Linked DNA regions of Kluyveromyces lactis. The protein of the gene in region 2 interacts with the protein of the main gene of each other region in a biochemical or structural test. Links are inferred from orthologs where the notes say so. Each region holds a gene or a part of one and is shown on either strand. Other genes may lie near its edges.

Region 1 (2,725 bases), on a different chromosome or scaffold from region 2:
CCTTACTCAAATTCTTCAATAATGCTCCAAACTCGTGACGCCAACTCTTATAAAACGCCGCATTCTGTATATCATGGAGATCGTGTTCGTTCTGCGGTACGTTGTCTAAAAGCTTTTGCAACATCTTGTCATTAACCTCAACTCCCGTTTCCAACGATTTCTTATAGATATGGAACGAGTAAAATAAATAAAATATACCCATCTTTACCATGTATGAGTTGGCTGATTGTAGACCTTTCCCCTCGGGATTAGAATCCAAAAATGGATCTGAAATAGTCTCAATGTCGGCGGCAGCATTATTACTTTCTCCTATCACTTCTGACCTTCGTTGTTCCATAGCTTGCTTCTTTAGTTGACTGCTCTCTCTCCAGGAGACCTCAGAGCGGGGTCTCTTCGGTACCGCAAAATTTTGCTTATCATCGTAAACTGCATCAAGGCTATTCTCCACCCCAAATCCGTTTTCCAACGAATCTATTATAGTTGCTTGTCTTGACATCGTTGATACGGTAGAATATATCACCATCCCTGTTAACGTAACTACATTAGTCGTAACAAAAAACGCATTACCTGGTGCATTGAAATATTTCCAAAGCGTCTCTGAATACCTCTGTTGACCCTTTTGTAGACGTGGGGTACTTTGAAACATCTTGTTCTTCCATTGTAGCGTTATCCTCCGACTAGTATGAAACCTTCGTGCCATTGAACGAAAACAGCAACGAAGATGCATTTTAAATTGGAAAAACACCACTCTAAGCTTGACCCATCAACTTCGAAACAGAAACAATGAGGGAAAACTAATCTGTGTCGTATGTATTCTCCCTGATCAACCCTTTTCAAATTATTAATTCTCTTGTGTGTCTTGTTACCGGCTTCTTTCATGAATTCGCAGGGTCAGCTCATTTCCATATATCGTTTGATTTTAACTTAGTATTCAATTTTTAATTTCGCTGAAATTCTTTCTCCTTGGTGGTAAATAGTATGGAGATATATGGATGGAATCTGCGATGCGCTACAAATTTGACACATGATTTGACGAAATGAAAAGATTGTTGGGTTGAATGGCTGCACCCGTGAATAAAACGTAATCTAATAATCTCATCTTATTGTAGTAGGTGCTTCACCGGGAGTCACATCGATATGAATATGCTACAGTAGTTCGGATCTCTATAACTTATTTAAAAACGAGAGAGTATCACGTGATGTATATCATTTCTCACATCATATCTACATCTTGAAACTACAGCAAGACTGGCAGGCGTGCTAATGCTTACAATAGGAAACAGTGTGGTTCGCAGATAGGGGCGAAGGAATGTGTGGTGTATGCAACCTTAAGGAGGAAGAACTCCTTTTTCTCGAACGGTCAACCTCCGATGCTGTACATCCAGGTATATATAACTCCAATATCCCAAAAAAAAAAAGAATGGCTGCAACACGTCAGTAAAAGGGCAGGACAAGAGTAAAGAAAGCAAGCTTGGTGCACTTCACAAAGCACATTATGTCCCATTTATTAGTGTACGATTTCATGGAGCACGATCTAGCAAATGTGCTGATCGTGGTCAAACCTTCGACCAAAAGTCTTGTATTCGTTTCGCTGTCAGGAACGAAACCAAAACTATTAGGCGATGCTAAGAAATTTGTATCCAAAGTGAACTCCTTGTCAAAGAATAAAGGATCTATTTATACCTTAAAGAATAAATCCATCTTAAAATCAGACGATGTGGCATGGTTAGAACAGTTGAGCTTTGATTTTTTACAGATACTGGCTGGTGGTATTGACTCTCAAACGAACATCAAATGTGAGTATCTCCTTGGAACAGAATTTCAAAAAAAGGTTTGGGAGACTACAAAGACTATCAAGGCCGGTGCTACGATTTCTTATCAGCAATTAGCCGTTCTGCTAGGGAATCCAAAAGCTGTGAGAGCCATTGGTTCTGCTCTAGCGAAAAACAACATTGCTGTCGTGATTCCGTGCCATAGAATCATCGGTTCTAAGGGTAAACTGACAGGATTCAGATGGGGAATTGAACTAAAAGAATCACTACTAAGGCAGGAACAAGCAATTTAGTGGACTGATAGCTTTTGAATTTTTTTTTTCTTATTTGCAACCAACCGTGTTTGAAACGGCACACAAATCCCAAATGTGTTCAAGGATTACTTGACCCAGTCGTTACGGTTCTCTTCTGTGTGTGTTTCAATAAAATGTCTTTTTGTCTCTATTTCTTTTGTCTTTATTTGTCTTTCGAGAGGGTTGCGTCTGCAAGAAAAAATATGGAAATCCTGGAGAGTTGAATCATTATCGATCTGCGAGGAGTATGATAGTGGGGTGCAGCAGATATAATTAACATACTACTTATCGGATGGAGAGGGGGATCTTTTCAATAAAGACATTCAATTGTGCTGCACGGCTGATCTCACAACTTGGGACATTATACTGTGTGAGTTTTTTTTGTTCTTTTTGTTCTTTTAATTCTTCAACTTGCTTCGACGACATGAAGGGTTTGACTTTTACTTCTGCTGGTTTTTGTTTGCAGTACATTCTCTACAAACACGATTCTGTCTCGAAATAAACCATCCACTCGTAAATGTAAACCTTAAACTCTATCCCATGTTCTTGCCATAGAAAGCTAGTTTCTTACCGTTTCTTCTCTTACGGTATCTTTTGTTTCTGGTCAAGTATTAATTATTGCTGAGTAACTTTTTTTGGCAGAGTCACTGTACTATGTTG
Region 2 (4,098 bases):
TTCACAAATTTCATACAACGGATTTTTTGTACAATCAAAGCAGTAGTAAACGGTCTCAGTGCCATGGCACTGTTTCGAACACTGCGAACCTCGATGATCGTTATGTTTCCTTTTCGGTATGAGTGACTCACGCCAGTTAGATCTCAATTTGATCTTCCCAAAATCGCCCATTTCCCACTGATTTAACCCAAAAACATGAGTAAGATCTTCCCAGTTTATTTCCTCATTACAATGGTTCATACAGGTGAGTAGAACCTTCCAAAGGTAAAACGAACACATATCATTGTATCTGTACCTGCAGAAATGAGCAAAGTGAACCAAAAAATCACGCAGACATCGCACTGATTCGCCCATCTTAAATGGACTCGCTAAAAAGAATACCTGCTTCTTTCTGGTCTTGGCTTGCTAGTCATTCAAACCTAAAATGAACACTATTAACAGAGCAAAAACAAGAAGCGCGCCCCTTGATATAACGTGCATCCATTTATCTATTTACTATTTACATTTTTAAGCTTGTCTTACTTTCAGTTTTTCGTTTCAGCAAGTATTCGAGGCATTTGCCACCTTTAAACATTAGTACGAAGAGCACAAAAAAGAATATCTTAGGATACCTGATGTAAAATCACAATGGAGTTAGCATCAGTTGGGTAGTGTCTATGGAGTGTATAGAGGGACTATTATTGTAAATATTTTGATGTTTGACCGTGGTCACATGACCGAATATCAGTCACGTGACTTACTTTTGAACCAAAAGTCAGGGATTTATAGGGCTGACGACTTTGAAACAGGCGAGCTTCTTTGGATCGAGACGTTGAACTGCAGCTGGAATCCTAACTTAATCGTAGTTTTTTTTATTTATATAACTTCGCTAAATTGTGTGCTGAGAACAACGTTGGATTACAAATCGAAGACATGAAAGAAATGCTTTATTTAGATTATTTTGACAACCTATTTGAAGAAGAAGGTATTGATGGTCAGTGTACCACTTGCTACCAAACATAACCTGCTTATTAAATGATTCAATTGTGTTTATGGAACCGAAATGATTATTTCTAGGGTACTTCTTACACTTTGCTTCGGTCAAATTCCACATACATTGAGAGGATTCATTTTTATCTTCTGAAAGATTCAATAAAAAAAAAAGGAATACGATATCAGAAAAGAGTTTTGACTTTCCTTGCCAATGCACAGTTGACAAAGGTTCAATACAGGTTGATTTGTCGTATAAACAACTGATCATCAACATAGCAATATCAGAACAATCCCTAAGGTAATATGATTAACGATACTGACCCAGAGTCGTTTTTGCGGCAACATGTTGGACGAACCTTAGGCTGCATTCATTCTCGGCCTGAATTCAAAGATATAAAGGGATCTGCAGAGAGAGCAGTTATGGATAAAGAGCTCAAGAGTTTCATATATGGGTATTATTACTATATGATTTCAGACAGTGGTAGGCTTCTTCCGCATATGTTTACTGCTACAAATGAGCGTGAATTCCCCAAGAATGTCGACCAAGCAATGGAAATCAAGCTGAGTTCGAAACCCTGGTATAAGATCGATGAGAATGGCGGGCATTCGAAATTCAACCACGCTGGCAGAATATGTGGTGCGAAGTTTAGAGTAGGCGAACCGATCTACCGTTGTAAGGAGTGTTCATTTGATGATACTTGTGTGCTATGTGTAAACTGTTTCAATCCAAAGGATCACGTTGGTCATCACGTATATACGTCGATCTGCACAGAATTCAATAACGGTATATGTGATTGTGGTGACAAGGAGGCATGGAACCATGAATTGAACTGTAAAGGTGCTGAAGATAATGGTCGTTTGGAAGACGAGTTTGACGACCATGATGGCAAGATTTCTAAGATGCTAGAAAGCGTCCTAATAGAATTATTTGATCATTTCATCGATGTCTTCAACCAAAACATTGAGCCATTAACAACAATTCAAAAACCACTCATTGCGAAACTTAGATACTTCATCCAGAACGGGAAATATAATGAACAAGCTGACATGCTGAGGCGATTGGCATATAGAAATCAATACATGGACGAAGAGGAGTCCCAGCAACAAACGCCATCTACATCGTTAGATCCCTTGAGTACACTTAAAGATTATGCTATTTTGGTATACAACGATGAATTTCATAACTATTCGCAGGCTTCTGCTGCCATTAGACAAGGTGGGCCTGATAACAAACATATTGATTTATTGACTGCGAAGATCGATTCTGAGGGGAGATCATTGTTGAGATGCAGCGCTGATATCGCATCTTTAATGGGAGGATTCTTTTCCGTTCAAAGTAACGGGTTGAGCTGCACAATAACTCAATGGTATGAATATCTACATCAAGAAGCCTGTAAGTATAGCATAATGTGGATTAATGATTGTTTGAATATCCCAAACTCTACTTTCCAAAGCCTTTTCAGAAATGCTATAGGCAAAGTTCTATGTTCCAAGTACGAACCTTTTTATCAGTCTATCGATATGACCTCAGTTGTTAGAGATTACTTTTCAGATAGTTACCTGAGTGATGATCCATATTTGTATGCGGATCATTCGGTTTTGGGTGAAGGTGTCAAGATCCCTCTTGGAAGACATAAATCCCTAGATCCTGGAGACATATCTGCTATTTCCCCCATCTTGAATAAAGTAATAGCAGAAGATCATCATGAATATACTAATTCTAGGTTGCAATACGTGTTGTTCCTCGAAAACAGGTACTGGAAGAAGCTTAGAAAAATAGTTCAGGATCTAATTATACCAACACTAGCATCAAGTGCTGTGCACAAACCAATGTTTACTGATCAGCTAGTCGAAATTTTCCCACACATGACACGAAGTGTGACCTTCATGGATCGTGAACCTCAACTTACATCATTAAGGGAGAGTGTCGTTCAGTTATTCACCTGCCCAACTACGGCTTACAGTATTTTTCACAGTGGACATTTCAACTACGTCATATGGTCAGTGATTGACGTTTTTGTTGACTTTTCTACCATGGATGAGGGCACGTTGGTTTGGCAACGGGTTCAGAGAAGTAACCCTTCTAAAAGCTACAGTATATCATTCAAACAAGGATTGTATGCTGTAGAAACTTTACTCAGTAAAATCACTGACCCTAATCTATTGTTGAAACCGGGAGAGTTTATCATGATTGTAACACTATGTAAACTCTTCAACGGCGCATGGAAGATTAAAAGAAAGGAAGGAGAGCATGTTTTAAGGGAAGACCAGCATTTTATTCCATATTTGGAGTATACGACATCAGTCTATAGCATCATTCAGACTTTTGATAAAGTTTTGCAGCAATCAAAGGATCACATTGACCAGCGATTGCTTATTGGGGCCATCAACTTATTGGATTCATTTTTGGGACATAGAAACTTGTCATACAAATTATACAAAGACTTTGAAATCATAAAATTCCAAATCAGCAAAGAACGAGTTTCATTTATGAATCCCGTTCATACTTTGTTTTCTTTCCTTGTGCAGCATGTTCCCTTACAGGTGTCAATTCAAGTTTTATCTCAATCCAAAGACTATCTAGTTATTTCGGATTTTGCTTTGAGATCTGTCGTCTTATGTTCGCAAATCGATATAGGATTTTGGGTTAGAAATGGTATGTCAGTTCTTCACCAGTCAGCATATTACAAGAACAATCCTGAAATGAGCTCCTATAGCAGAGACATACAACTTAATCAATTGGCGTTTCTAATTGAAAAAAACGATTTTCAAAGAGTCATCTATAACATGTTAGATAGGTGGGAATTACTTGACTGGTTTGATGGAAGTGTTCCCTCGACAGAGACAGTGTACGATGATAAAATATCGTCGATTATTCAACAATTCGTTGCATTCCTATATCAGATATTGGTGGAAAGAGACTTTTATAAAAAGTTCGATACCCTGGAAGAAACACAATTGTACAACATTAAGAATGCCATTATTTATAAACTATACGCTGAACCACTATCATACACTGACTTATTGAACGATATACCCGATTACCTTACTGAAAGTGTTTCCCAATTTGATACAGTTCTCGAAGAAGTTTCTACGTACATTGAGCCCAAAGGGCTCGAAGATAAT
Region 3 (3,673 bases), about 1.3 Mb from region 2:
CGCTGCAAACACTTTCGGAAACTTCAGATGAGCTAATTCGAACGGGGTGCCAAAAAGTCGTTGAGCCTATACAAAATTCTAATGACAATGAACCAGTAAAAATGGCTGCTAGTGTACAATCCGAAAAGCTTGAAGCAGAAACAACGCAGAATGCAGTGTCACAAGTTTCATCAGGGGAAATGGAAAAACAAACGCCTTCTATTAAAGATAGCAGCACTGAAGTCAGCGAATGTCTGCCAGGTGTTGCAAATAATGATGAGATATCTAAGAACCTTGATACAGTGACAAGCGTTAACTCCCCATCTGGGCTGCCTCTGAAGATACCAATTTTTAATCCTTTCTTTACTGATGTTATCAAACTCGAAGAGGATCTTGCTTCGAAAGGCGATACCTATATATCAGGGAAGCGGTCTTTAGAACTGATGAACTCAGCTGGTGATGTTGCAAGTGCAAATTGTGAAGGACAGCATCATACAAAAAAAATTATGCGAATTGTTTCAAGTTTAAATGATGTCGATATTGATGATGTGAAGTCTTTAAGCAACAACGATAAGAAGCTTTTGAGAAAGGTAATGTATAATTTTATGTTAAACTTAGAAGATTAAGGACATGTTGCAGTCAGATTTTTCCTATCCATAACAAAAATATTTCTCGGAATGATCAATTTACGTAAACAATATCTCTACAGAATACAGTTATTCTTTTGAAAAAGCGTCTCCATTCTAACGGGTCACCCCGTTTCCTTTCAAAAGTAACGGATTTCAGATCACCTTCCAACTGCATGATGACTAGAGATCCTGAAAGTGGGAGCTTATTTCTATCATATGTTTTGAGCTGTATAGACACAGGATAGGGGTTACTCTCTCCGATCTGCCGTTTCAGTTCCAAGAAATTATCGTGAAGATTTCTACTCACTCTAACACCATATGCAACCAAAGCATTCTCTAGGTCTGAGAGGATTACACTAATATCATCAGTAGAGAAAAATTTAGTTAGCCTGTCAGATGAAAAGTTAGGCATTAGCTTCATATCATTAATATTAAACTGCAAGGAAGCGAGATCTTCTTGGATTCTCTTGGTTGAAAATGGCTCCTGCGTCATTAATTCCCTTTCACTTGAAAAATTCGTGCTGCATGTAACCTTTTGAGTGGCAGAGTAGCCGTTTCGCAAATTAGCCGGTAAACTATCTATATGTGCAAGCTCACGATTGAGAGGTTGGGTGAACGACATCTTTGCATGTTGATTGGCAAACACTTCCTGCGTAGAAGATAAATAATCGGCATCTGATAGAGAAACTTTAAGCTTTGATAGTAATTTTTCTGCAAGCAAAGAAGGATTTTTACAAAGGCCATTTTCATCTGCAAATTTCGGATTTGTTTGATACCATGTATGTTTCCGTAAAGTATCCAAAGAAGCTCTTTTCTCTGGATCTGGTTGTAATATTTTTCTCAAGAGATTCAATTCAACGAAATCTATCTTCAGCCAAGATCCCTGATCTAGCTTTCCTTCGCCTTTAATAAAGTTTCTAAACGTTTCATCGTCCTCGTGAGGAAGTTCCCAAGGCGTTTCTCCAGTCAACAAAACGAATAATAGAACACCAATGGACCAAATATCTGTCATATCAGCATAGTACCCATCACAGTATATTATTTCCGGTGCCATGTAGGGAAGACTTCCTCGTTGATCTCTAGAAATACGTTTTGATCCATCTTTTCTCTTGAACAGCGATGCTAGCCCAAAATCTGCAAGTTTTAAATTCCCATCTTTATCCAATAGGATATTTTCCGGCTTGATATCCCTATGGGCAACACCACAGGTATCATGCAGATAACTTATAGCTTTTATAAGTTGTTTATAATAGAATTGGGCGACTTCCGAGTCGACTCCAATGTCAGGTTCGATTTTATCGAAAAGATCACCACCTTCAGCCAGTTCCATGGCTATCCAAAGAAACGGATCAGAAAGATTGCAATCTATAACCTTTAGCACATTAACAAAATTAGAGCATCTAGAATGTAACTTAACTTCCCTCAACACATCTTCCTGACTCATACCTTGTTTCTCACATGAAGGAAGATGTATGAATTTGACAGCAATTACAGTGGACGGATCAACTTCTAAACTAGCTCTCTTCACAAAGGCAAAGGAGCCCTTCCCAATTGTTCTTCCTAGTTGTAATCCATCAATATGAGGGAGCTGAGCTATCTGTGAAAAGCTCATCAATACATCAATCGAAGTGTTCTTCTTTTACTTCTTTTTTGTTCTTGTCGGTTCGTATCTCAGAAATCTCCAGCTATATCAGCCAAACGCACATTCAATATTTACGCAACTGATGTGCTCAAAATATCATCCAACCGTCCTAACTGAACCCCAAGTGATTTACCTAGGATAACACGTCGGAGACTCGTATATAAATCCCGTTTTCCCCATAAGTATCATCATAAAACTATTGTTTTTCTTTTCTGATCAGATCTGCGATAGTCATTAGTTTCTGTCATTTCTTTGCATTTATAAAAACGTACATTGAAAGGGGTTTTACTACGTTTATAGTTTAATCAGTGAACAATAAACAAATCCGATACTGTTGATAGAAGCAACGAAGCAGTGGTGAGCTTTTTAGGAGTGGTAAGTGTAAGATTAGGCAAATATGAATACGATGGATACACTGGATACGCATTTTGTTTCCTCTGTGGAAAATGCGGTACAAGAATCATTGCGAGAGAACAAGGCGTTATTGGTTTATACTACGGGCGGAGATAATTCGTGGTTTGAGTCGTGGTTTACACCACTTGTAGGGGAGCAGTTGAAGGATTCGTGCGTTTGGTTACGTTTAGCTGCTGGAAGCAGGGAAATGGGTTACTTTGAGCAAATATTCCCGGATGTGAAGGTTCCTAGCGTTTATTGTATTGCTAAGGGACAAATAGTGGAGATGATAAATCCAGATCAGTTGGACATGGACGGATTTGCTACTAGGTTGATCCGGGCAGTTGGTAAAAGCAAGAGGAGAATCTCTGAAACGGATGCCGTTGATGCATCCAATACCGTTGGTGCCGCTGGTGATACCGGCGCCAGGTCCGGTAGCTGTCTGTCACAAAATGCGAAATTGATGGAGTACCAAATAAAGGCCAAGAAGCACCAGTTGACAGAACAACAGGAAAGAGAACGTATTGTTAGATTGATGAAAGCGGACCGTGAAGAAATGAAGCAACGAAGATTATCGTCATCATCTCCAAATCATACTAAGGAACACATCAATGAAGTATTGGCTGTACCCATTCACGATAATATTAAAAACAGAGATATAATAAACGCAGCAGTGTGCACCTTGCTTATAAGATTAACAGACGGTAAGACATTGAAAAACGATTTCGATTCGTCTCAAACTTTAAACGATGTAAGGACTTGGGTGGATGCCAATAGGACAGATAAGGATGGTCCGTACCAGTTCCATCGAAGTATTCCACGTGAAACTTTCACAGAATCACAAGAATTACTATCTTTGAAAGCTCTGGAGCTTACTCCAAGATCTGCATTAATCTTGAAGCCTTTGGAAAAGCATACATATTCTCGTAAGATTGCAGATGTAGAAGGACCAGGTTTGCTTGGGAAAATGTATCAGAACGTGACGTCCTGGTGGTACGGTAAATCAACGGTTGTTGATCAAAATATTCCT

The links. The genes of interacting proteins can lie anywhere in the genome.
Region 1: of the proteins of UBR1 (region 2) and MGT1, one has a biochemical effect on the other in vitro, tested with the Saccharomyces cerevisiae proteins (3 studies listed by BioGRID, with this or other methods). The link is inferred for Kluyveromyces lactis from reciprocal best matches to the Saccharomyces cerevisiae genes UBR1 and MGT1.
Region 3: of the proteins of UBR1 (region 2) and CHK1, one has a biochemical effect on the other in vitro, tested with the Saccharomyces cerevisiae proteins (3 studies listed by BioGRID). The link is inferred for Kluyveromyces lactis from reciprocal best matches to the Saccharomyces cerevisiae genes UBR1 and CHK1.

What each region holds. Positions count from the first base shown.
Region 1 is NC_006041.1:168,270-170,994, forward strand, and holds MGT1 (methylated-DNA--protein-cysteine methyltransferase), read left to right. Parts: upstream 1-1,495; coding exon 1,496-2,065; downstream 2,066-2,725. Other genes in the region: PET494 (Pet494p), read right to left, coding at 1-727. UniProt on the Saccharomyces cerevisiae protein: Involved in the cellular defense against the biological effects of O6-methylguanine (O6-MeG) and O4-methylthymine (O4-MeT) in DNA. Repairs the methylated nucleobase in DNA by stoichiometrically transferring the methyl group to a cysteine residue in the enzyme.
Region 2 is NC_006042.1:1,413,471-1,417,568, reverse strand, and holds the start of UBR1 (E3 ubiquitin-protein ligase UBR1), read left to right. Parts: upstream 1-1,275; coding exon 1,276-4,098. Other genes in the region: putative ubiquitin-protein ligase UBR2, read right to left, coding at 1-354. UniProt on the Saccharomyces cerevisiae protein: Ubiquitin ligase protein which is a component of the N-end rule pathway. Recognizes and binds to proteins bearing specific N-terminal residues that are destabilizing according to the N-end rule, leading to their ubiquitination and subsequent degradation.
Region 3 is NC_006042.1:119,341-123,013, forward strand, and holds CHK1 (serine/threonine protein kinase CHK1), read right to left. Parts: upstream 2,221-3,673; coding exon 661-2,220; downstream 1-660. Other genes in the region: DNA-binding protein RIF1, read left to right, coding at 1-605; KLLA0_F01298g (UBX domain-containing protein), read left to right, coding at 2,648-3,673. UniProt on the Saccharomyces cerevisiae protein: Serine/threonine-protein kinase which is required for checkpoint-mediated cell cycle arrest and activation of DNA repair in response to the presence of DNA damage or unreplicated DNA.